7 linked regions of the Macaca fascicularis genome follow. The protein of the gene in region 7 interacts with the protein of the main gene of each other region in a biochemical or structural test. Links are inferred from orthologs where the notes say so. Each region holds a gene or a part of one and is shown on either strand. Other genes may lie near its edges.

Region 1 (4,065 bases), on a different chromosome or scaffold from region 7:
TTTCCTTCTAAGCTATCTTTCTTAGCTCTGCAGTCTATGCAAATTAAATGGATAATTTCTCTAATAAAAATTAAAAATAATTCGGACAACAACCTCCTGAAGGGAGTTAGAAATTTTCCAAAACAGCTTCAAAGCTAAATACAAAAAGTGATACACTGTTGTGCATTTTCCACACCAAGATTTCCTATGCATATCAGCTAAATGGAAATTGATTACAACTGCATTCTTGACTATTCACATTATTACATTATTGACAAAACCACTTTGGAAGGCTATGACAAATCTAGCTGCACATCACATCTTCACCTTCTTAGTCAACAATTCAAACTTAGAAAACAAGAAAAGTGCTAAAAGTACATACAGGTCTACCTATCTAGAATTATAGATTTTAGAAATAAATACAAAATATAGCACCCAAGTTCTTGCTTCCAATCCAACTCACTCTAATCGGGGTGGGAGTTCAGTACTACATTCATCTTCCAGTTATGCCATTTTTATTATATCATTCTCTTGATTGAAAGCATTTAACAGTTTCCCAGACCACACTCCCTAAACTTTAGCCTTTATAAATAGGGACCATAGGCCTTTATAAATTTGGCCCCAATGCTCAGCTAATCCTGACTATTATGCCTCGACAACAAAAACAACAACAAAAAACCCACTAAAATTATAATTATATAGTACTTTTGATCTTCAAAGTCCTTTCACAAACATTATCACATCGGATTTCGATAACAACACTTTAAACAGAGACATTTCACTCAAGGAGAAAACTCAGGAAAAAAAATGGTGAAAGATCACACAGGGTAACAAAAATGAGCTAAAAGGCAGGTGTTGTCTGGATGCGGTGGCTCGCGCCTATAATCCCAACACTTTCGGACGTCGAGGTGGGAGGATCGCTTGAGGCCGGAAGTTCATGACTAGCCTGGGCAACAAAAAAGCGACACTCTATCTCTACAAAAAAAAAAAGGTAAAACGCAGATGTTTGGGTTTTCAAGACCACCACTTTTTACCTGCCAATCAAGTCAGTCTCTTTTTGGTTTTTTTTGAGACAGAGTCTTGCTCTGCTGCCCAGGTTCAAATGCTGCTTCTACCTCAGACTCCCGAATAGCTACGATTACAGAGCCCACCACCACGCCCGCCTAATTTTTGTATTTTTAGTAGAGACAGGGGTTTGAACTCTGGGCCAGGCTGGTCTGAACTCCTGACCTCGTGATCTGCCCGCCTCGGCCTCCCGAAGTGCTGGGATTAAAGACGTGAGCCACCGTGCCTGGCCAAGTCTGTCTCTTGTACTCCACTCCAAAACACTTTGTACCCTCCGCGCCTTGATGTCTTTGATTTCTAGCCGTAATGTTCTATCTATCTAAATCTTACCAATCTTGCAAGCTCTCCATTTCAAGGAAGACTTAGACAATCATTCTACCCTAAATTAACCTCTCCACTGAACTTCTCCAGTATTTATGGTATGCTCCAGTCATCTTGTCCCCTTATCAGATATTCTAGTGAATTTCTTAAATTTTTATCTGGGTTTATCTTATTTCTCTAAGCAGAACCTAAAGTTCTTAGAAAAATAAATGGTTTCAGGCATAGCTTTGGAACTGCCTATAATATCTAGCATAATGTTAGTACATAGTAGGTCCTGAAGAAATACTTCTTGCATTTAAATAGAAAAATAGAATAGTACCTGAGGCATAAAGGATGATTACAAGGTGCAAAGGTAGGTACATAAGAATGAAGCAAACAAGTTCTGGTGAAAAAGAAAAGAGTGAAGAATAAGAAGTCAGAAGTCTGCAGCAGTGAAGACAGACAGCACTAGTAAATCCGGTTTTAGGATTGCAGCAGCTCAAGACTCCATAGGAAACTTGAAAGACGAATTGTTAATTGCTGCAGGCAGACGACATAGAGGCGTCACTCCAGTGCTGCGGAAAGAGCCCCAGTAAATTTCTGACAACTGTAAAGGCAACTAATGAGTCACGAGGAGAGAATACTGTGACTTCCATCAGCTCTAAAACATCAATAAGCTTACTACACTTTTCAAGTAGTGTCATCGGATGAGTATTAGCGTCCTAGTGAAATGACTCTTTGCAGGGCTCCGTACAAAATCTAAATCAAAGATAGTGTTGCCGGCTCTCATATTATTCCAAGTCTCTTCTCTCTCTGCCCTCCCAGTCGTCCCCTGCCTACTCGGTTCCATTAAAAATGTAAGCGTGTGGAAAACTTTGTCAGCAGGTCTTAACGTGGCTTTCAAGTTTTGCGTAGATCAGTCCTCTCCTAGGTGAAGTCAACTGGATAGGTGACAGATCCTGCTTTTCCTACCAGCAGTAAGAACACGGCTGCAAACCCAGCCCCAACCCATAGGGTAGTCCCTGCCACGCGCCACCCACCCACTTGCTCGGCGCCTGCCACACCTCCCCTCTCCTCCTCTTCTAACTGCTCCGATCCCACCGGGGAACCCCGGGGTCCACGGGGTCAAGAAGGGCGCCAGCAGCAGCATCTCATTGGCCAGCTTCTGGAACTGACAAGACACGCAGCCAATGAGATCGCAGTACCGGAAGTAGCCGGGTTACGTGCTTAAAGAGTGGGGCCTTCAAGAAGAGAACGAAGTTGGGGCGGAAAACAGGGGCTCTCCCAGCGCAGGAAGTCAGGCGAGCGACGACTGCCAGGCAGTGCGACCAGAACTCACCCACGGCGACAGAGCCCATAACTGCATCCCCTCATGGGCCTTTGGGCTGGGCAGCCAGCTCCGTCTTCCTCCTGGTGACGAATTGAGAGCGACGGAGCAGAAGCCAGAGTGACCCCTGGAAAGCAACAACTTCCGGAACGCGGCATTATGGGAAGTGGCTAGGCCACCACCTCCCCACCCCCACCTCCCGTGACCATGGGCTCTGACGCTAGTAAATCTGCGCCTGCGTGCGGCTTGCGCCGGAAGTTCGGGCTTAGGGGTTTGGTTGTCAATGGGTTTTCTGGTCTCTGACATAACCATGAAGTTATATAAATGCCTCTGAAGTGTGGGCATCTGGTGGTGGTCTGAGCCTTGGAGTTCCCCAGATGGTTACCTTTCTGGAACACATTACATTTGGAGACTAACGGGGAGCGCTTAAATTTCTGTTTCCATAATTCTGTCCTCTCGACTTCTAAAACTGAGTACGTGAGTTGTCTTGAATTTACCTTCCTGCGCCATGTCAGAATAAAAAACGCAGCGAGTTAATTTTTTTTTTTTTTTTTTTTGAGACGGAATATCCGTCTGTCGCCCAGGCTGGAGGGCATTCTTCTGCCTCAGCCTTCCGAGTAGCTGGGACTACAGGCGCACGCCACTACACCCGGCTAACTTTTGTATTTTTAGTAGAGACTGGGTTTCGTCATATTGGCCAGGCTGGTCTGGAACTCCTGACCTTGTGATCCGCCCTTCTCGGCCTCCCAAAGTGCTGGGATTACAGGCGTGAGCCACCGCGCCCGGCCGCGAGAGTGAATTTTTAAAGCAGAACTGAAAGACGGTGTCAAACATAAATTGCGGGAGAGGAGGGGATTTTCAAATATTTACTGTTCATTCTTTGAAAATTTGTAAGTGCGAGGCCGGGCGCGGTGGCTCATGCCTGTAATCCCAACACTGGGAGGCCGAGGCGGGTGGATGACCTGAGGTCAGGAGTTCGAGACCAGCCTGGCCAACATGGTGAAGTCCCGTCTCTACTAAAAATACAAAAAATTAGTCGGGCATGGCGGCGAGCGCCTGTAATCCCAGCTACTCGGGAGGCTAAGGGAGGAGAGTCGCTTGAACTCTGGAGGCAGAGGTTGCAGTGAGCCGAGATCACTCCATTGCACTCTAGCCTGGGCAACAAGAGTGAAACTCTGTCTCAAAAAAAGAAAATATGTAAGGGTACACTTTGTGCCAAGCCTTCCCTCAAATGAATTAAACATAGGCCTCTCTGCCCTGGAGTCTTAGTTTAGTAGAGAAAATAGTAATCCCTACCAAGGGTGCCAGGGTGGGGGGGTTGCAGATATCTATAGAAAAATAGTCAAAGAATGTAAACAGGTAATTCACCATAAAAAAAAAATTGGTCATAAAAT
Region 2 (3,330 bases), on a different chromosome or scaffold from region 7:
GGAGTCAGGCTTCACCATGCCACCCTCAGAGGGGACACAGCTGGTACCCCGGCCAGGTATGTGCCATGGTATGCTCTGTAGGGTGTCTGGCCTGCCTGGCTGAGCTAAGCCTCCTGGGTGGAAGAGGGCTCAGCTGGGCCAGAGGCCCTGGATCCCACTGAGGGACCTGTCACCAGCTTCAGCCCTCCCGTCCCTGACTTCTCTCTCTCTCTGTCTCAGCTTCAGTCCCCCTGTCCCTGACCTCTCTCTCTCTCTCCTCAGCTTCGGTCAGTGCAGCAGTTGTTCCCAGCACCCCCATCTTCAGCCCCAGCATGGGCGGAGGCAGCAACAGCTCCCTGAGTCTGGATTCTGCAGGGGCCGAGCCTATGCCAGGTAGATACTTGATCCCTGACCTCTGACCATCATTCACTCCTTCCCAAACCTTTTTTTACTGATCCTGACCAACCTTGCCTGCCTCCGCAATAGGCGAGAAGAGGAAGCTCCCGGAGAACCTGACCCTGGAGGATGCCAAGAGGCTCCGTGTGATGGGCGACATCCCCATGGAGCTAGTCAATGAGGTCATGCTGACCATCACTGACCCTGCTGCCATGCTGGGGCCTGAGGTGGGCAGCCCGACCTGCTGACCAGTTGGGGGACCCCCACCAACCTGAAACCCCAGCTCACCGCCCCTCTTCTGTGCCCAGACGAGCCTGCTTTCGGCCAATGCGGCCCGGGATGAGACAGCCCGCCTGGAGGAGCGCCGTGGCATCATTGAGTTCCACGTCATCGGCAACTCGGTGACGCCCAAGGCCAACCGGCGGGTGTTGCTCTGGCTCGTGGGGCTGCAGAATGTCTTTTCCCACCAGCTGCCACGCATGCCTAAGGAGTATATCGCCCGCCTCGTCTTTGACCCGTGCGTCCCCCAGAGAGCCCCTCCCCCAGGGCAGGACCCCCGGGTCCCTTCCTCCTCGGCCTCTTGACTCCTCAAAATTGGAGATCCCCTGCTCCCCACTTCTGAAGTTCAACCTTTGAGCATTCTTATTTCTCACTGCCCAACCCTGACTACAGTTCAGACTTCCAGGGCTCTGGGGACCTGAAGGAAACAGGCAGGGGCTGTGACGTGCCCACCTCTCTCTTAGGAAGCACAAGACTCTGGCCTTGATCAAGGATGGGCGGGTCATCGGTGGCATCTGCTTCCGCATGTTTCCCACCCAGGGCTTCACGGAGATTGTCTTCTGTGCTGTCACCTCGAATGAGCAGGTCAAGGTGAGTGCCGCTCCCCAGCCCACGGCTCGCTCCGGAGTTTGGGCCAGCTCGGAGCAGCGGGAGGTGTGGGATGCAGCAGCCCCTTGCTCTTCTCTTAGTGGCCCGTTCCTCACATCCCCACAAGGTGGCAGCCGTACTTTGATAACTGTGGATTAGGAAACCACCTGTTCACAGACAGAGCCCAAGAAGCGGCCACGCTTTGGTGACCTGTGGACTAGGATTTTCTTCATCACAAGAACATTTACATACATGGGGGAATTAATTACTTTAATTTTTATTTTTTATTTATTTTTTGAAACAGGGTCTCTCTCAGCCAGGCCGGAGTGCAGAGGCATGATCAGGGCTCACTGCAGCCTTGACCTCCCAGGCTCAAGTGATTCTCGTGCCTTGGCTTCCCAAGTAGCTGGGACTACAGGCATGCGCCATTACATCTGGCTAACTTTTGTGTTTTAGTAGAGACAGGGTTTTACCATGTTGCCCAGGCTAGTCTCCAACTCCTGACCTCAAGTGATTCACCTGCCTCGGCCTCCCAAAGTGCTGGGATTACAGGTGTGAGCCATGGTGACCAGCCGAACTAACCGTTATTACAGTAGTCCTATGCTGATAGCCTTGGCTTCTGTCCTTTGTTACAACAGACCCCCTCGTAGGGTCGCTGGCTCTGTGTGTCACATACCTCAGATCTGCGTGGCGCATCGTTGGCCCTGATGTGTGGGAGCCATTGCTCCTGCTCAGGCCTCTGGTGACTCCCTCTCCCTCCTCTCCCAACTCTGAGGCCCAGGGACTGAGAATTGCTGGCCTGTGTTGGGTTTGGACCCGGCCCTGCCACGGCTGGCAGCCTGACCTTGAACGCATTTCCTAACATAGCTGAGTTTCAGTTTTCTCTTTTCTAAAATAGAGGTGGTACTACTCGCCTCTGGGGTTGAGAATCGGTCTGTAAAACAGGAAGCACTGCACCTGGCCCAGAGTGAGCTTAGAAAGCCTCTACCTTTCACTTTCTCCCATAAACTCCCCTCCCTCTGTCAGCTGCCTTTCTTTCTCTTTGCCTGGATGCTCTCCCTTTCCCCACCTCCTTTCCAATCCACCCGCTCCACTCTGGGCTCTGAGACCTCTCCAGCACCAGGCCCATCCTCAGCTCCTGGTGAGTCCTGCTCCCCTCCCCCACAGGGTTATGGGACCCACCTGATGAACCACCTGAAGGAGTATCATATCAAGCACAACATTCTCTACTTCCTCACCTACGCGGACGAGTACGCCATCGGCTACTTCAAAAAGCAGGTGACCCGTAGCCTTATCCCACACTGGTCCTTTGCCTGAAGCCTGGGGTCATTCTGTCCAGCCCCTCTGTTGATGGAGTAGGAGTCCCTTTATGTCCCCTACTTCACCTGACACCTGCCAGGAAAGTCTCCATGCCTATCTTCTTTCCTCTGCTGCCACTGCCCCAGGGGAGAATGGGGGCCTATGGGGCCAGTAGAGCAGGCTGGAGGAACTGGGGGGCCAGTAGAGCAGGCTGGAGGAATTGGGGGGCCAGTAGAGCAGCCTGGAGGAACTGGGGGACCAGTAGAGAAGGCCGGAGGAACTGGGGGCCAGTAGAGCAGGCTGGAGGAACTGGGGGGCCAGTAGAGCAGGCTGGAGGAACTGGGGGGCCAGTAGAGCAGGCCGGAGGAACTGGGGGGCCGGTAGAGCAGGCCGGAGGAACTGGGGGGCCGGTAGAGCAGGCCGGAGGAACTGGGGGGCCGGTAGAGCAGCCTGGAGGAACTGGGGGACCAGTAGAGCAGCCTGGAGGAACTGGGGGGGCCAGTAGAGCAGGCTGGAGGAACTGGGGGGCCAGTAGAGCAGGCTGGAAGAACTGGGGGGCCAGTAGAGAAGGCCAGAGGAACTGGGGAGCCAGAGCAGGCTGGAAGAACTGGGGGGGCCAGTAGAGCAGGCTGGAGGAACTGGGGGGCCAGTAGAGAAGGCCAGAGGAACTGGGGAGTCAGAGCAGGCTGGAGGAACTGGGGGGCCAGTAGAGCAGCCTGGAGGAACTGGGGGGCCAGTAGAGCAGGCTGGAGGAACTGGGGGGCCAGTAGAGAAGGCCGGAGGAACTGG
Region 3 (4,123 bases), on a different chromosome or scaffold from region 7:
GCTGGCTGCAGCCTCAAACTTCTGGGCTCAAGTGATCCTCCTGCCTCGGCCTTCCAAGTAGCTGGGCACCACCATGCCCAGTTAGTTTTATACTTTTTGTAGAGACAAGGTCTCTCACTATGTTGCCCAGACTGGGCCAAAACTCTTTTTTTGGTGGAGAGGGGACAGAGTCTCACTGTCTCACTATATCGCCCAGGCTGGTGATGAACTCCTGGGCTCCAGCGATCCTCCCAGGCGTTGAGCTACTGTGCTGGGCCAAAACTCTAATTGAAAAAAATTTTTTTCTAATTTATCTTGCAGTTTTAGTCCTTAAGATCTCTCATTCTACCTCAGTTTCTTTTCCTAGACAGTTGTTATATGTTCACTTTTCTTAAAGATTCAGCACACACCTATTATTTGTTAAACCTTTCAACTCACCCAAATATAACTGCATTCCACTGCATGATGTTGTTTTCAGATGGTGCACCACTGACACCCACAGGTGGGTCCTCTTGTAACCTAGAAATCCAGCGTTGTAATTTAAAAAGTTGAACATTAAGGCCACTAAGGAGGCCACATAAACACCTACAGACACTACACCATCTATTTTGAGACACAGACTAACTCCATTTCCTTGTTATTGTGAACTAAAATGAACCATATGACTTAGATATATTAACCAGGTATATATACTTATTAAATACCTCTCCAAATTACCTAAAAATCCGAAGGGCTTGAGAATCATCCCTCTTTCAATATTATCAAGAGTATCTCTTCAAGAATTGATGTATATAGACTGTCCTCTTATACCAAAAAAAGTTTAAAACCTCAAAAGCAAGTAATATTTTTACAGAACCATTGATTTTGCTGCTCTAAACATGCAAAGACTGTGTATCCTAACCACGGCTACTTCTGCAAAATGGCTACAAGAAAAAAAAAAAAAGCAAACCTCAGTGTAAACACGAAATGACTGAAAACACATTAAATTTAACTAGGAAACTAGTATTAGGCAGCAGATTTACTCTATCCCTTTTGCTTCAAACAGCAATGGCTTTAAAAAGTAATCAGTAGGTTTTCCGCCAGTCCCTATTTTAAAGGCTCTGCACTAACATCAAATCTACCTCTCAAATCAGGAGACTCAATACAAGGCTTTCCCACATTCGTCATAGTCAAATTCTTGTAACCTATAGATCTCTGGAAAACTACAAAAGGTGCCATGTATTCAACTCAGAATTAAGCAGAGCATTACAGTAAGGAGCCAGGGCGACAATGACATGAACTAGTTTACTATCTGAATTTTAGTCATGAGTGCTAATCAGATACACTGATTTCAAGCTTTAGAAAAATGACTTTTGCACCAAAAAGGGCATCTCCTTTCAGAGACTGTAACCTCAATTAAAAATGCTACATTATACACACTCACAAATACATATGGAGTTGTTTTCATGGGGCATCATAATTTGCAACTAGTCCACATAAAAAAAAAGGTTTTTAGTCAATCTCAAGCAAATTAGGCCACCACAAACAGAAGCCTTAGAGGAACTGCACTGCTTGACGCCTACCTTTAAATGGCTAAGAGAAGCTACGAATGAATTAAATAAGTTGGCCAAATCCAAATGCCTCACATAGGCTTTATAATAGCTGAGAGGTGACTTCCTGAGCGACAAATCTATGTTTTTATGCTATTTTGTTCAATTAGGGTAGGTGTCCCCAGAAAAAATTTTAAGAAAAATGTGCAGAATATCAAAATGTTTTCTCACTTATTTTGTTTTTTCTACGTTATTTTGTTTTTTCTACGTCTCTAAGTATCCAATAAAAGGTAAACTAACGGAATAATCATTTTCTTCCTCACAACCCCAATACCTCCTAACAAAACCCTATTTTATTTACCAAAGAAGGCCCAGGGAGTATCAAATTAGCGCCAGTCTAAGGGAAGGCATTTTTCCAGACTCGGGAGGCTATAGATAGGGCTTTCTTCACCAGCCAGATCTGAGTTCCAGAAGGCACTGGCAGCCGGGGTGGCCAGCTCTAAGGTCCCAGATCTCTAAGTCAGTTCCCAAGGTCTTTTCAGGCGGGCGGGGACAGAGTCGGGTTTCGGGGGATGGGTTAACCTCCGAGCCTCACGCACTGGACCCCACCCTCACGGCAGAAATGGAAAGGACTGGCGAGGGTGGGGGGCTGGGGAGGTTCACCCCAACCCGGCTCCTCGGAGAAGACTGAGGGGCCGTGAAACAAAGCTGACTGGTGCTGCCGGAGAAGAACAAGCTCCCGCGGGAGCTCACTTTGAGGGGACAAGAAAGGGTCTCCGCAGGGTGCAGGGGCGGGAGGATGATGTCTGATCCCCGTCTGATCCCCTGGACGAGACCCCGGGCAGCTGGCCGAAATGGGCAGCGGGGAACCCTAGACCAGTCGATCGACATCGTTTTACTTTTTGGGGGGAGGGGAAGCAGTATCGAAATTTCTTCGGGCGCCAGAGCGAGCGGCAAGGATAAGGAGAGTAGGGGCCGAGGTAGGACCCGGCTTCCGCCAGTCCCCCTGGGCCCACAGCCGGCCCTCTGAGGGTCACAAGGGGAAGGTGTCCGGGATCCACGCCCTGCAGCCCCGCAGCTTTGAGAGGCCGTCATCTATGCGAAGCTGAAGGCCCTTACCGCTTGAAATCCCGCATAAGCCTCCTTCGGGCCGGGGTCGACATGCTCCGCAGCTGCCCCGCGGTCAGTCTGAAAGAAAAGAGTCCCGCGCAGCCCCCCCACCCCCCGGCGCGGCGGCCGAATCACTGTGGATCGCCGCTGCCGCCGCCGCCGCCGCCGCCGCCGCCAAGACTGACAAACAACCCTGCAATGACGTCTCCCTCCGCCGCCTCCGGATCCCTCCGCCCTCCGCCGCTACCACAGAGTGAGTGCTGGGGGAGGAGGGGGCGGGACGGGGGAGCGCGCGTTCCCTGAGCCCTTCAGCGGGGCGTGGTTCTTCCTGGGCTTCCTGAAGTGATCGACAAATTTGTGTTCTCTGTGTTCAGACTAGAGGTTGTGGATTCAGAGACCACGAAACCGACACACTATCCTGTCTGCCTCCCCGTCTCTAGTTTAGGCTCGGCGGGGTGGAGAAAGAAGGACGTATCCGGGCCAGGGATTTCAGGGAAAGGAGGTGGGATGATGTAAGATCACGTGACTGCCCGCGGCCTTGTCAACAATCCACCCCTGAGGGGGAGGGGGAGAAGTATCTAGAACCACGTGTCCCTGTGACGCGTTTAGAACGGGTCACGTGAGAGCCTCGCCTGGATGTGAGTTTCGGCCAGGTCTGTGAAGCGGGTCTAAGAGGGTGAGGGCTGGATACACCTTTATTAGTTGTTTTCGGTTTATCACAGGTATAGAGACATTACCCAAGAGGTCGTGGGAGGATCAACAGCTTGTTTTGTTTTCTTTAAACCGGGACCAAAAATAACTCCCCTCTGGTTGGTTCAGTGGCTTATGAACTCTGGTACTTGGGGCAAGAAGAGAGAGGATCGCAAGATCTTCTAAGGCAGCATTGAATACTGAGGGCCACACAACAATCTCCTGAAATGGTTCCTTGAAGCTACCAAATAGTCTTTCTGCTTTGCAGTGGGGTTTCTAGTATTGGAAATTCTGGGCAAACATTAAAGGATGGTGTATTATGCAGTTTTTCCTTTCTGGGTCTGCTTTCAATTGAAGATATGTGTCAGAGTCCGGGGACTTGCCTATGGGGGGGAGTACCATTGTATTTTTAAGAATGTGGGGGTGCAGTCTTCCAAGCATATCAATGAGTGGTTGGTTGTCAAAGAAACCTACAAATATGATTCATATGTGGGGGAGAGCTCCAGCAGACCTGAGTGAGGGTTATCTATCCAGCCTGAGACAACTTCAGGTTTTTTACACTAGCAAGAAAGGTGCAAATGGGCGAGAAGTGCCCCCCCACCACCAGGGGGTTCAGAGGTGTTGACCTCCCACAGACCTTGAATATTTTTTGTAGTTACTGTCTTTCCCTGTATTGCTGCTAATTCCTACTTTCAGGACTTTGTTATACTAAGGACTCTGAGTACTTTTGTATCCATTTGGGGAATTGTTCGGTTCAACAGGTAAAGGGAGGGTGGAATGAGGACCTTAGCATTGCCTCAACCTTGCCCCTAGTT
Region 4 (4,256 bases), on a different chromosome or scaffold from region 7:
ACATGGAATTACCATAGCATCCAGCAATTCCGCTCTTAGATATGTAGACAAAAGAACTGAAAACAGGTATTCAAACAAATATTTGTACACAGATGTCCGTATTGCCAGTATTCAAATAACGAAAAGGTGACAAAAACCAACGTCCATCCAATGGATAAACAAAATGTAACAAGTATATCCATAAAACAAATTATTATTCAGCCCGAAAAATGAAGTACTGATCCATGCCACACTGTGCATGAACCTCAGAAACACGCTAAGAGAAATAAGCTAGACACACAAGATCCTATATTGTATAAGTCTCTTATATGAAATACCTAGAATTGCCAGATTCATAGAGACAGAAAGTGGAATAGGTGCCAGGGGCTAGGGGGAAAGGTGAAATGGGTGGTCAGTGCTTCACGATTAGAGTTTATCTGGGGTGATGAAAAAGTTTTGGAAACAGTGGTGATGATTACATTGTGAATGTAATTAATTCTATTGAATTGTACTTAAAAATGGTTAAAATGTCAGTTTGTTATATATATTTTGGACAGTATTTTAAAAATTAATAATGCAATATATAAAAAACCATTAAATTGCACTTTTAAAAATTTTATTGAATTTATGTTACCCAGACTGGTCTCAACTCCTCGGTTCAAGCGATCCTCCCACCTCCGCCTCCCAAAGCGCTAGGATTACAGCTGTGAGCCACTGCACCCGGCCAAACTGCACACGTTTAGTAGGTGAACTGTTCGGTATGTGAGTATTTCAATAAAGCTGTTTTTCTTAAACTATTGTTTAAAAATGGTTAAAATGGCATTTTGGTTTTTTTACCACAATAAAATACATAAACGTTTAAAAGGCAGGTACACATATAACTGTGACCAAAAAAAATTAAAAAAAAAAAAAAAAAAGACCCGTAGACGAGAGCGCACAGACAGGAACCACTGCACGGCTTATTGCTCACACTAGCGGAGGAAAGAGTCAAGGGTTCAGTCTGGGGCTCCTGAGTCCACCGGGTGTAGGGGTTAGTGATAAAAAAGCGATTTTAGACTTGTTGCATGATTTTTTTTTTGGAGACGGAGTCTCGCTCTGTCGCCCAGGCTGGAGTGCAGTGGCGCGATCTCGGCTCACTGCAAGCTCCGCCTCCCGGGTTCACGCCATTCTCCTGCCTCAGCCTCCCGAGTAGCTGGGACTTCAGGCGCCGTCACCTCGCCCGGCTAATTTTTGTATTTTTAGTAGAGACGGGGTTTCTCCGTGTTGGCCAGGCTGGTCACGATCGGCTCGTTGCATGACTAGGAGAATAAAGAATTACGTGAATGGAGATGTACAGATAAGTAAATCAGAGGCCGGGCGCGGTGGCTCACTCCTGTAATCCCAACGCTTTGGGAGGCTGAGGCGGGCGGATCACCGGAGGTCAGGAGTTCGAGACCAGCCTGACCAACATGATGAAAACCCGTCTCTGCGAAAATACAAAAATTCCGGGTGCGATGGTGCGCGCCTGTAGTCCCAGCTACTCGGCAGGCTGGGGCAGGAGAGTCGCTTGAACCCGGGAGGCGGAGGCTGCAGTGAGCCGAGATCGCGCCACTGCCCTGTAGCCTGGGCGAGAGCGAGACCCTGTCTCAAAAAAAAAAAAAAAAAAAAAAAAGAAGGCTCTAGACGGGCAATTCTTTAATTTTTAAAACAACAAACACCCATCGAACACATCGCGGGCATCGTGACAAGGGACAAAATCTTGTCCTTGACTTTACAATCCATCGACATTTGGGGACCCATAAACCCCCAAACCTGAGAACTATTTAGACAAACATCAGTGGGGCTTTTTGGTTTGTTTGTACTTTTTAAATGGAGAAGCGATGATTCACCTTTTCAAAGATTTGCGGCTTTCGGCCAATAATCAGGCCGGGGTTTACTCACCCACTTCCTCGGACTCCTGCCCCGACGCTCTGAGCTTGCACTCCCGGGGATAGTGTTTCTGAATGACCTTCCACAGGTCCAGGTTGACGAGAGAATTCCTTCGGGTGTGGTACCGAGTCCACGAAGACACGCGGCGGCGACAGAAGGGGCAGCACAGACTCGCCTTCTCCACGGTCGCCTGGAAGCACGGTCTGCACAGCGTGTGGCTGCACGGCAGGGTCACGGGCTCCACGAGGATGTCCATGCAGATCCCGCACTGGCACTCGGACCGCGAGGGGACGGCGCCTTTGGGTAGAGCCATTTTAACACGTTAATAAAGTCGACTAAACGACGACACCTGCGCGAAAAACAATCCTATTTTCGGCCAACCACAGAGAAAGCAAAAGCACAGTTTTGTGTTTCAATATTGTGCCCAGAAGCGTATCAGAACTCGGAGAACAGGGGCATCCAACCCGTCTCGAAGCAAAAAGGCGCTCTCAGGGTCAGGCAAACAGGAACGCCCCGGAGGGCGGCGTCTTTGTCCATTTTCAAGGCAAACGTCCGGCAAGCAAACGACTGCAGGCTTTCGTCGGAGGAGCCGGGCTGCTCCGCGGCGTGAACACTGCGGCTGCGGCTCCCGGTGCAGCGAGGGGAGCGCGCCAAGTCCCCTCCTCCCCTCATCCGGAGAGGATGCTCCGCTCAGCTCGGGGCAGCCCGGCCCCGGGACGCGGCTCCGGGAGGAATCCCGAGCTCCGGCTGCTGCAGAACTTCCGCTTTGGCGCTGCTGCGGGGGCGACGCGCGACTCCCGGGTTCAGCTTCCCGGCGCCCGGCGCAGTTTCCCAGAGCTCCGCGCCCGGGTCCCTCTTGCGCAGCCAGAAGCCCTATTCGTTGCAGCGGCGCAGCAGCCACCGGGCAAGCGCCAGCAACGTCACAACCGCCCGCCAAAACCGCGCTTCCCACCCAGAAACCCGCCCAAGGTCGGACGCTCCCGGGGCGGGACTTCCGGCGTCTGCGCCCCGCCCGCCCTCCCAGCCGGAGAGGCCCAGCCCAGGCGTCGCCGCTCCTGCTGGTGCAGCCTGGGTGGAGCCTGACTTTCCCCGGAGATTTCTACCAGGCCTCAGACACCCCGGGTTTCTTGGTTTCTGGGTAGAAAAAGGGAAACTGCAAAACAAATTCAACAGCCAAACACGGCCGGGCGCGGTGGCTCACGCCTGTAATCCCAGCACTTTGGGAGGCCGAGGCGGGCGGATCACCTGAGGTCGGGAGTTTGAGACCAGCCTGGCCAACATGGCCAAATCCCGTCTCTACTAAAAATACAAAATCAGCCGGGCCTGGTGGTGCGCGCCTGTAGTCCAGGTTACCTGGGAGGCTGAGGCAGAAGAATCGCTTTAACCCAGGAGGCGGAGGTTGCACTGAGCCGAGATCGCGCCGCTGCACTCCAGCCTGGTCGACAGCGAGACTCTGGCTTAAAAAAAAAAAAAAAAAAAGGCTGGGCGCGGTGGGTCACGCCTGTAATCCCAGCACTTTGGGAGGCCGAGGCAGGCGGATCACAAGGCCAGGAGATCGAGACCATCCTGGCTAACACGGTGAAACACCGTCTCTACTTTAAAAAAAAAAAAAAAATATATATATATACATACACACACACAAAATAAAATAGCCGGGCGAGGTACACACACACAAAATAAAATAGCCGGGCGAGGTGGCGGGCGCCTGTAGTCCCAGCTACTTGGGAGGCGGAGGCAGGAGAATGGCGTGAACCCGGGAGGCGGAGCTTGCAGTGAGCCGAGATCGCGCCACTGCACTCCAGCCTGGGAGACAGCGAGACTCTGGCTTAAAAAAAAAAAGGCTGGGCGAGGTGGGTCACGCCTGTAATCCCAGCACTTTGGGAGGCTGAGGCGGGAGGATCACAAGGTGAGGAGATCGAGACCATCCTGGCTCACAGGGTGAAACACCGTGTCTACTTAAAAAAAAATATATATATATACACACACACACACACACACACACACACACACACACACACACACACACACACACACACACACATATATACACACACACACAAAATAAAATAGCCGGGCGAGGTGGCGGGCGCCTGTAGTCCGAGCTACTCGGGAGGCTGAGGCAGGAGAATGGCGGGAACCCGGGAGGCGGAGCTTGCAGTGAGCCAAGATCGCGCCACTCACTCCAGCCTGGGCGACAGAGTGAGACTTCCTCTCAAAAAACTTTAAAAAATTTTAAAAAGCCGAACAGTAATACTTGCCTCAGTACCCTTGTGAGTACGTTTTTGTTTCTATTGATTTGTAAGGTAGCCGCTTAGGTCGCTTTCCAAAATTCTTTAAAAAGCATCTCCAAGAAATATTGTGGTCAGAGA
Region 5 (2,190 bases), on a different chromosome or scaffold from region 7:
CATGCCCTGCTGATTTTTACATTTTTAGTAGAGATGGGGGTTTCACCATATTGGCTAGGCTGGTCTTGGAACTCCTGTCCTCATGATCTGCCCGCCTTGGCCTCCCAAGGTGTTGGGATTATAGGCATGAGCCACCGTGCCTGGCAAGTCTTGTTTTTTTCAAGAAGTTACTTGGGACTTAGGCAGGTATGATCCGTTGTCTTAGGTCCTCCTCCTCATCCCTGTAAGATGGTGATTAGAAGACCATGTGGTCATCCTTAAGCGATCCTGTATCAAGGTGTTAAGTAGGTATCACTTCCACCTTGACTGTTAGCTGGTACCTGCAGTACTTTTTCCCAGAACTTTGGACAAATTAACCAAGATCTACTTGTGAAAAATTGTATGTAGTAAAGAGGCTATAAGCTAATGCTTTCACTTTTTCCTCTGAATCCTAAGCACCGGGCACTTAAACTGGTGCACACCAAGACAAAGATGTGTTATCAAGTGAAACAAAGTCAGGGTGTCTGTCTCACACAGTTTATTTAACAATAGGTAATAAGAAATCAAATTTAACAGTCTATACAGTGATCCAAAGTTCATATTTATAAGTAATCAACTTTAATTGCATGATTTACAACAGTTGAGGGTTTTTGCTCTCTATTTTCAAGTTTTATAGAAAGTGTGTGTGTGTGTGTGTGTGTGTGTGTGTGTGTGTGTGTGTGAGTGGGGGTAGGGTAAGGAGGAAGAAAGCAAGCAAAGAAGAAACCCCCAGGGACATTTTGCATGTTAAAATCATCCCACCGGAATCGTTTCTTACCCTCTTTTTAATTTTTTTCCTTTGTTAGATGTAAAAATAACGAAAAAAATTCTTTCAAGAAACAGAAACCACAATATATAATACATCAATTTGGCAGCTGCCCCTGTATATTTTTGAAAAAGTCATTTTTCTCTCTACATGTACAAATTATTTTAATACTTGAAGTTTTACGCTCAGACTTACAGAATAGAAAATTTTCTGGAGCACAAAAGTTGACTTGAGGGGAAGAAAGGGAGTTTTTTTTTTTTTTTTTTAAACGTTTTTTAAAAGAATGAACATCTTTGCACCCAGAGAAAAAAAATTGGTATTTTAATATATATTTATATATATTTATATATATATATAGAATGTAATTTTAAAGTAACATTAACCCCTTTTGTCCTCTGGTTTTAGAAATGTTTTAACTCTTCCATAAAGTGAGGAAAATAGGGAAAAATGTCAACCATCTGCACCAGTAAATAATAACTATTAATATTACATATTTTCATTAATTTAAAAAAAATAATAAAACCTATTGGAGGTGCAAGGCAGGAGCATATTGTTTGGCTTCACAGGCCTCAGCCTCCTCCCAGTGCACACTTGAACCACACACACAAGGGGAAAAAAAGGCTGGTGGTAACCAGCCATAACAAAAATATATTCTTTGTATTCTATCATCCCTCAGGTTCATCTTGCATGTTTGCTTTAAACCACAAACGGCTACTGCACAGTTCTTATATGTTCCAAGGAAAATTGTCTTTTAGGCTATGAAAGATTCAAAAAAATTGTTTTCAGTACAAAAAGTCTTAAGAGAAAATAATTTTTGCTCCCAAAATACTACAAGGTGTCTCTAGTGTATGTCTAGTGTACTCTGTGAGAGGTTTGAATTCAAGTCTGAGTTATCGGTGCTGAGTCCCAGGTCTGTGGCGCTTGCACCATGGAGGTTTGCCATGCCTGGATTGCTAGCAAGCTGAGAAAGCATTGAATTCTGGTCCGGGCTGGCAAAATGCCCTTGTTCCATGGGGTTGGCCTGGGCAGCTACCAGTCCAGGATGCGGGGAACTTGTCTGTGGGGAAACGTGGTGTGGAGAAGGCTGAGGCTGCATCCTTGGAGAAGGGCTGGAGTGGGGGGGCTGGGACTGTGGCCGTGGAGAAGGGACAGGCTGCGGAGAGCGCACTTGATTGGAGAGAGAATTAGGGATCTGCTGGCCTTGTAGGTGTGGAGACTGGGCCTGATTTGGGAGCATATGCTGCTGGGGGCTCATGGGGTTGGGCTGAGCAGGAGACCCCATCTGTTGCTGAAGGAGTCGCTGCTGATAGGCCTGTAGACTGGCACCTGCCTCTGCTCCCAAGGCCTGGGGGAGCTGGCCCATCTGTCCCATATTTCCTTGTTGCATCTGTTGCATGTGATGTTGC
Region 6 (3,500 bases), on a different chromosome or scaffold from region 7:
CCAGCACTTTGGGAGGCCGAGACGGGCGGATCACGAGGTCGGGAGATCGAGACCATCCTGGCTAACATGGTGAAACCCCGTCTCTACTAAAAAAATACAAAAAACTAGCCGGGCGAGGTGGCGGGCGCCTGTAGTCCCAGGTACTCGGGAGGCTGAGGCAGGAGAATGGCGTGAACCCGGGAGGCGGAGCTTGCAGTGAGCTGAGATCCGGCCACTGCACTCCAGCCTGGGCGACAGAGCGAGACTCCGTCTCAAAAAAAAAAAAAAAAAAGAAAGAATTCCTCCATCTCATGGTCACTGAACCAGATGACCTTTCAAGATCTTGCCAACCCTGAGATACATGGATAACTCTTTTTCAGCTTTCTCTTCTTGTCACAACTGTTTGCCTTTTTCTATTTGGTGGTTCTCATGGCAGCTGAAGGGGAGATAGCTGATGCACTGTTTTGGTTCCACAGGTGTCTGGTTTCATAAGTCAGGACCTGCATATGCTGCTGGTTGACGAGATTTGTAAAGGACCTCCCTTTTCAGCACAATGACTGATTGTATTTCTTACATTGTTGTTGTCTTCCCAGGTGACTGTAGGACGAGGATTTGGTGTCACATACCAATTGGTATCAAAAATCTGCCCCCTGATGATTTCTCGAAACCACTGTGTTTTGAAGCAGAATCCTGAGGGCCAGTGGACAATTATGGACAACAAGGTACAGGAATTCACAGAATCCTAATGACTTTTATTTGTTTTTAAATTACTTTTTTTTTTTTTTTGCCTAGGTAATTCATGGTATAAAATTCAAAAGTATAACTTCTTCTTTCCTAGCCATCCAGTTTCCTTTTCCAGAGGCGCAGCCACTTCCATATGCTGCCAGAGATTAGATTATGCTAAAACAATTTCTCTTGATTTGGGTTGAAGTTTGTTACCTTGAAGAGAATACCTGAATTGGGGTAGTAGGTCCTATTCCAGAAACTAGACTAAGTTACTGGGCAAATCAGCCTGTTTGAGGTGAAGCTCCCAGAGACCCTGGGAATCTGCAGAATCCGCTAACGCTTCTGGAGTACACTTATGGCTCAGTGAACAGGGGGAGGAGGGAGAAACTGATCTGACTGCACTTAGCTCCTTGCCTTCCTCATTCCTTTCAATCTGAGCAACCTCCCCTGGCTTTTAAAACATGTTTTAAATGTTGGTGTTCTGAAGATTTCCTTTGAATAATGGGTTTTCCTCCTTTAGACACATTTGAAAACCACTAGTTTAGTGGTAAATGTGTTGAGGGAGGTGCAATAGTATATAAAGCCCAGCAATTAGAAAGTACCTCATGTGCTGGGCGTGGTGGTGCATGCCTGTAGTCCCGGTTACTGGGGAAGCTGAGGCAAGAGGATTGTTTGAGCCCATGAGTTCTGGGTTATAGTGTGCTACGCCGTTCTGGTGTCTGCATTAAGTTCGGCATCAATGTGGTGTCCTCCTGGGAGCAGGGGACCACCTGTTTGTCTAAGGAAGGTGAACTGACCCAGGTTGGAAGGAGAGCAGGTCAAAACTGCTGTGCTGATCAACAATGGGATTGCACCTGGGAGTAGCCACTGCACTCCAGTGTGGTTGACATGGTGAAGCCCTGTCTCTATCAAAAAGAAAAGAAAGGCCGGGTGCAGTGGCTCAAGCCTGTAATCCCAGCACTTTGGGAGGCCGAGACGGGCGGATCACGAGGTCAGAAGATCGAGACTATCCTGGCTAACACGGTGAAACCCCATCTCTACTAAAAAAAAATGCAAAAAACTAGCCGGGCGAGGTGGCGGGCACCTGTAGTCCCAGCTACTTGGGAGGCTGAGGCAGGAGAATGGCGTAAACCCGGGAGGCGGAGCTTGCAGTGAGCTGAGATCCGGCCACTGCACTCCAGCCTGGGCGACAGAGCGAGACTCTATCTAAAAAAAAAAAAGAAAAGAAAATACCTAAAGTGCAGATATACAAGCACCCAGGATATATGATGAAAATACAGACTATGAGGTGAGAGAAATTCTAACATAAACAGTTCATGTTTAGGAAGTATAACATGTCTTTAAGTACCATTTCATATTGCTTCACTGCCCCAGTTAGGATTTTAACAGTACCATTAGAAGGGAGGATATCCCACAGATCTGCCCAGCAGCCTCATTTTGCATGCATAAAACTGCTAGATTTAAGCTGTTGTAAAGTATCTTCCTGCTCTAGAATTAAGTTGAGTTGGCACTGTATTGAAGGAGACAATACACAAATGCTAAGTAAATAGGTTCAGCACTTTCAGCAGTGCACTATGAGCAGGGTAAAAATTGGCACTGGCATTATCTACTTTAACCCCTTATGTAGACAGATGAATCTGAGGCCCAGAGAGATAAACTGCCTTGCCCAAGGCCTTCTCTATAATGAGCCAGGACTTAAGTTTCTCTGCTATGCCCTGTGCAAATACCAGTAAAGTACGTAAGCAATTTGCTATACTGGCTTTATGACATCAAACAATTAATTATGCATATTTAAAATATAGCTGCAAGGTTTTAAAGCCTCTGTCATAGTGTATATCAAAACAGCTTAGGAAAAGATGTTTTCCTCATCAGCGTAGGCTGTATGAGAGTTGGGATTACAGTATTATAGAGGTGAGTTTTCTGCTGCTGCTTTTCTTAATTATGTGCAGTGTAGATGTGATCCACTTATGGGATTAGCAGATTTTCATAGGTTGGGAAGCCAACAGCTGATCAACTGTAGTGTTATTTAAATGTCAACCACAGGGATACATAGGCAGCCTGTGCAAGATCAGATCATGACTGTGCTCCGGGCTCGCTCTCCAATGTTTGCTTTGTACCCTTCCTTCTAGGGTTGCTGTTATCATGTGATTCTTCTGAGGTCTCAGTCAGGCAATAGAAAGGAAAGGTTTCTTAACAACCTGTTTAAACTTTTTAGCTGTGATTGTGAGATAACTGATTTTTAAGAGAAGCTAGGACTGGGGCGTTTTGATGGAACAATTCTTACAAGTAAATCCCCCCTCCCCTCTGCACTTTTCTTTTGATTACAGTTGCCCCCTTTCTGGCTTCCTCCTGGCATGATGCCATGGCAGCCCTCTTCTGCTGATAGGGACCTGAATTTCAGCTGTAGGATATTATTGCTGTGGTTGTGTTTGAAGTCATTTGCCAAGTCTCTTTCAAGAGATAGGTGTTTCTAATAAGTTAAAACTCAGAGCTGCATTCTCTTATCTGCTGGAATGGCCAGAAAGTGAGAGCTTAAGTATGGATACAAAAATTGCAAGAAATGTTATTTTGGTTTAAAATTGGCTTAAAATATAGGAAAAAAAACCCTTGGAGGACAGCTAACTCTGCACACAGTATGAGGATGGTTCTAGTTGTGTAGGTTTTGGTCAATTCATAAGCTCTTCAGATGGCCATCTTTGTATTGGTATCCAGCTCTTTCAGAAAATTGGTTGTTTTAAAGTCACAGTATGAAATGCCTTAGAGGTTCGGTCACGTCTTACTTGAGCCTTTCCCAT
Region 7 (2,318 bases):
CAGGACGCGGAAAGCAGGGAGGCAAGGCCCGCGCTAAGGCCAAGTCGCGCTCGTCCCGCGCTGGCCTCCAGTTCCCGGTGGGGCGAGTGCACCGCTTGCTGCGCAAGGGCAACTACGCGGAACGGGTGGGGGCAGGCGCCCCGGTGTACCTGGCGGCGGTCCTCGAGTACCTGACCGCGGAAATTCTGGAGCTAGCAGGCAACGCGGCTCGGGACAACAAGAAGACGCGCATCATCCCTCGCCATCTGCAACTAGCCGTGAGGAATGACGAAGAGCTCAACAAGTTACTCGGGGGTGTCACCATTGCCCAGGGCGGCGTCTTACCCAATATCCAGGCTGTCCTGTTGCCCAAGAAAACGGAGAGTCACAAGCCTGGCAAGAACAAGTAATTAAGAGGCTTGACACCATACTCATTCACCCCAAAGGCTCTTTTAAGAGCCACCAAAGTGTCAAATGAAGGGCTGATCACGAAATAGCGCATTAGCTCTTTTTTTGAAAACTTGGGTGGCTCTAAAAAGAGCCTTTGGTCTTTGGTTTGTTTGTCTGCATTTATTTGCTTTTGGCTTTGTGGCTTTCAGTTTTCTTTGGTAACAGAACGGCCTGGATGTTAGGCAAAACGCCGCCCTGGGCGATGGTGACTTTGCCCAGCAGCTTGTTCAGTTCCTCGTCGTTGCGGATGGCCAGCTGGAGGTGACGAGGGATGATGCGCGTCTTCTTGTTGTCCCGAGCCGCGTTGCCCGCCAGCTCCAGGATCTCGGCGGTCAGGTACTCGAGGACCGCCGCCATGTAGACTGGCGCGCCAGCCCCCACCCGCTCCGCGTAGTTGCCTTTGCGCAGCAAGCGGTGCACTCGCCCTACCGGGAACTGGAGGCCAGCGCGGGACGAGCGCGACTTGGCCTTGGCGCGAGCCTTGCCTCCTTGTTTGCCACGACCAGACATGACTGAAACCAAGGTTAAACACAGACAATGCTCAGAACCTCGCTACAAAATAAGCTTGAAAGAGAACCAAGAGGAAAGCCTTTATAAGCTTTCCTAGGGGTGGGGTCTAGAACGAGTTTTTCATTGGTCCTAATATGGCTTCAGAACCGGCCAATCAAGTCAAGAGTCGGTGTTGTTGCGTACGCATTGCTGAAAACGCAAGGTCCGCACACGGACCAATGGAAATGAATGACTTTCGGAGCCCTAATTTGCATAAGGTGGTTATAAAAGAATCAGGCCCGCCCATTCTCTTACTTCTTTTCTTGGCTAAGCCGCGTTTGTACTGTGTCTTACCATGCCTGAACCGGCAAAATCCGCTCCGGCTCCTAAAAAGGGCTCCAAGAAAGCCGTCACCAAAGCCCAGAAGAAAGACGGCAAGAAGCGCAAGCGCAGCCGCAAGGAGAGCTACTCCATCTACGTGTACAAGGTGCTGAAGCAGGTCCACCCCGACACCGGCATCTCGTCCAAGGCCATGGGCATCATGAACTCCTTCGTCAACGACATTTTCGAGCGCATCGCGGGAGAGGCGTCCCGCCTGGCGCACTACAACAAGCGCTCCACCATCACGTCCCGCGAGATCCAGACGGCCGTGCGCCTGCTGCTGCCCGGCGAGCTGGCCAAGCACGCCGTGTCCGAGGGCACCAAGGCAGTCACCAAGTACACCAGCTCCAAGTGAGTCCCTGCCGGGACCTGGCGCTCGCTCGCTCGAGTCGCCGGCTGCTTGACTCCAAAGGCTCTTTTCAGAGCCACCCACCTAATCACTAGAAAAGAGCTTGTTCACTTACTCCCTTAGTTTCTTCTCATAAAGTAATTTTAGCGTAAAGGTCATGGGAAATGCCACACGTAGGTTTTTAACCATTTGGAACTTGAGGTCCCCGGTGCATGATTGGATTTGCTTTTGAATCTAGAGCGTGTCTTCACTCATTGTGCTGCTTAGCATTCCCAGGAGTCGGTTCTCAATTAGGATGTTGGGAATCCGCCTCTTTACCCGCCCCCACTCCCGCCCCACACTGGCGCCCTGGTGGCTTCTTGGGTCTGTTTCATTCTAAAACGAAGTGGCTGAGTTCGGCTGTTATTTAAGAGAACTCCAGGGCACGATTCAGCCCAGGTTCCGCAAACACTGCGTGACAGCTGTGTATGACTGACGCTTGGCAGCACCTTTTGTGTCCGGTCACCAGTTCTGCTGTGCGATGGGGTCTCCTGTGGATACCAGCCGTTCTGTGTATTTTGGACGAAGCCCGCGCAGCCGGGTCCCAGCCTTTTCCTGATTGGGCGACATGAATATTCAAAATTCTGCGCCTCTTTCTAATTTGTAGATTTCAGTTTCCGTCGTTCACTTT

What was found.
Region 1: of the proteins of H2AC20 (region 7) and USP16, one has a biochemical effect on the other in vitro, tested with the Homo sapiens proteins (2 studies listed by BioGRID). The link is inferred for Macaca fascicularis from reciprocal best matches to the Homo sapiens genes H2AC20 and USP16.
Region 2: of the proteins of H2AC20 (region 7) and KAT2A, one has a biochemical effect on the other in vitro, tested with the Homo sapiens proteins (2 studies listed by BioGRID). The link is inferred for Macaca fascicularis from reciprocal best matches to the Homo sapiens genes H2AC20 and KAT2A.
Region 3: of the proteins of H2AC20 (region 7) and UBE2B, one has a biochemical effect on the other in vitro, tested with the Homo sapiens proteins (2 studies listed by BioGRID, with this or other methods). The link is inferred for Macaca fascicularis from reciprocal best matches to the Homo sapiens genes H2AC20 and UBE2B.
Region 4: of the proteins of H2AC20 (region 7) and RNF168, one has a biochemical effect on the other in vitro, tested with the Homo sapiens proteins (4 studies listed by BioGRID, with this or other methods). The link is inferred for Macaca fascicularis from reciprocal best matches to the Homo sapiens genes H2AC20 and RNF168.
Region 5: of the proteins of H2AC20 (region 7) and EP300, one has a biochemical effect on the other in vitro, tested with the Homo sapiens proteins (5 studies listed by BioGRID, with this or other methods). The link is inferred for Macaca fascicularis from reciprocal best matches to the Homo sapiens genes H2AC20 and EP300.
Region 6: of the proteins of H2AC20 (region 7) and RNF8, one has a biochemical effect on the other in vitro, tested with the Homo sapiens proteins (2 studies listed by BioGRID). The link is inferred for Macaca fascicularis from reciprocal best matches to the Homo sapiens genes H2AC20 and RNF8.

The regions. Positions count from the first base shown.
Region 1 is NC_088377.1:18,014,167-18,018,231, forward strand, and holds the start of USP16 (ubiquitin carboxyl-terminal hydrolase 16), read right to left. Parts: upstream 2,801-4,065; 5' UTR 2,684-2,800; intron 2,472-2,683; exon of another isoform or gene 2,385-2,471; intron 1,748-2,384; 5' UTR 1,685-1,747; intron 1-1,684. UniProt on the Homo sapiens protein: Specifically deubiquitinates 'Lys-120' of histone H2A (H2AK119Ub), a specific tag for epigenetic transcriptional repression, thereby acting as a coactivator.
Region 2 is NC_088390.1:63,160,102-63,163,431, reverse strand, and holds part of KAT2A (histone acetyltransferase KAT2A), read left to right. Parts: coding exon 1-56; intron 57-261; coding exon 262-372; intron 373-465; coding exon 466-602; intron 603-683; coding exon 684-892; intron 893-1,118; coding exon 1,119-1,245; intron 1,246-2,409; coding exon 2,410-2,520; intron 2,521-3,330. UniProt on the Homo sapiens protein: Protein lysine acyltransferase that can act as a acetyltransferase, glutaryltransferase, succinyltransferase or malonyltransferase, depending on the context.
Region 3 is NC_088380.1:140,910,674-140,914,796, reverse strand, and holds the start of UBE2B (ubiquitin-conjugating enzyme E2 B), read right to left. Parts: upstream 2,801-4,123; 5' UTR 2,672-2,800; coding exon 2,628-2,671; intron 499-2,627; coding exon 418-498; intron 1-417. UniProt on the Homo sapiens protein: E2 ubiquitin-conjugating enzyme that accepts ubiquitin from the ubiquitin-activating enzyme E1 and transfers it to a E3 ubiquitin-protein ligase. In vitro catalyzes 'Lys-11'-, as well as 'Lys-48'- and 'Lys-63'-linked polyubiquitination.
Region 4 is NC_088376.1:1,914,802-1,919,057, forward strand, and holds the start of RNF168 (E3 ubiquitin-protein ligase RNF168), read right to left. Parts: upstream 2,801-4,256; 5' UTR 2,201-2,800; coding exon 1,900-2,200; intron 1-1,899. UniProt on the Homo sapiens protein: E3 ubiquitin-protein ligase required for accumulation of repair proteins to sites of DNA damage. Acts with UBE2N/UBC13 to amplify the RNF8-dependent histone ubiquitination.
Region 5 is NC_088384.1:10,438,108-10,440,297, forward strand, and holds the end of EP300 (histone acetyltransferase p300), read right to left. Parts: coding exon 1,626-2,190; 3' UTR 501-1,625; downstream 1-500. UniProt on the Homo sapiens protein: Functions as a histone acetyltransferase and regulates transcription via chromatin remodeling. Acetylates all four core histones in nucleosomes. Histone acetylation gives an epigenetic tag for transcriptional activation.
Region 6 is NC_088378.1:134,291,005-134,294,504, reverse strand, and holds part of RNF8 (E3 ubiquitin-protein ligase RNF8), read left to right. Parts: intron 1-572; coding exon 573-701; intron 702-3,500. UniProt on the Homo sapiens protein: E3 ubiquitin-protein ligase that plays a key role in DNA damage signaling via 2 distinct roles: by mediating the 'Lys-63'-linked ubiquitination of histones H2A and H2AX and promoting the recruitment of DNA repair proteins at double-strand breaks (DSBs) sites, and by catalyzing 'Lys-48'-linked ubiquitination to remove target proteins from DNA damage sites.
Region 7 is NC_088375.1:111,389,218-111,391,535, forward strand, and holds H2AC20 (histone H2A type 2-C), read right to left. Parts: upstream 997-2,318; 5' UTR 940-996; coding exon 550-939; 3' UTR 501-549; downstream 1-500. Other genes in the region: H2AC21 (histone H2A type 2-B), read left to right, coding at 1-389; H2BC21 (histone H2B type 2-E), read left to right, coding at 1,274-1,654. UniProt on the Homo sapiens protein: Core component of nucleosome. Nucleosomes wrap and compact DNA into chromatin, limiting DNA accessibility to the cellular machineries which require DNA as a template.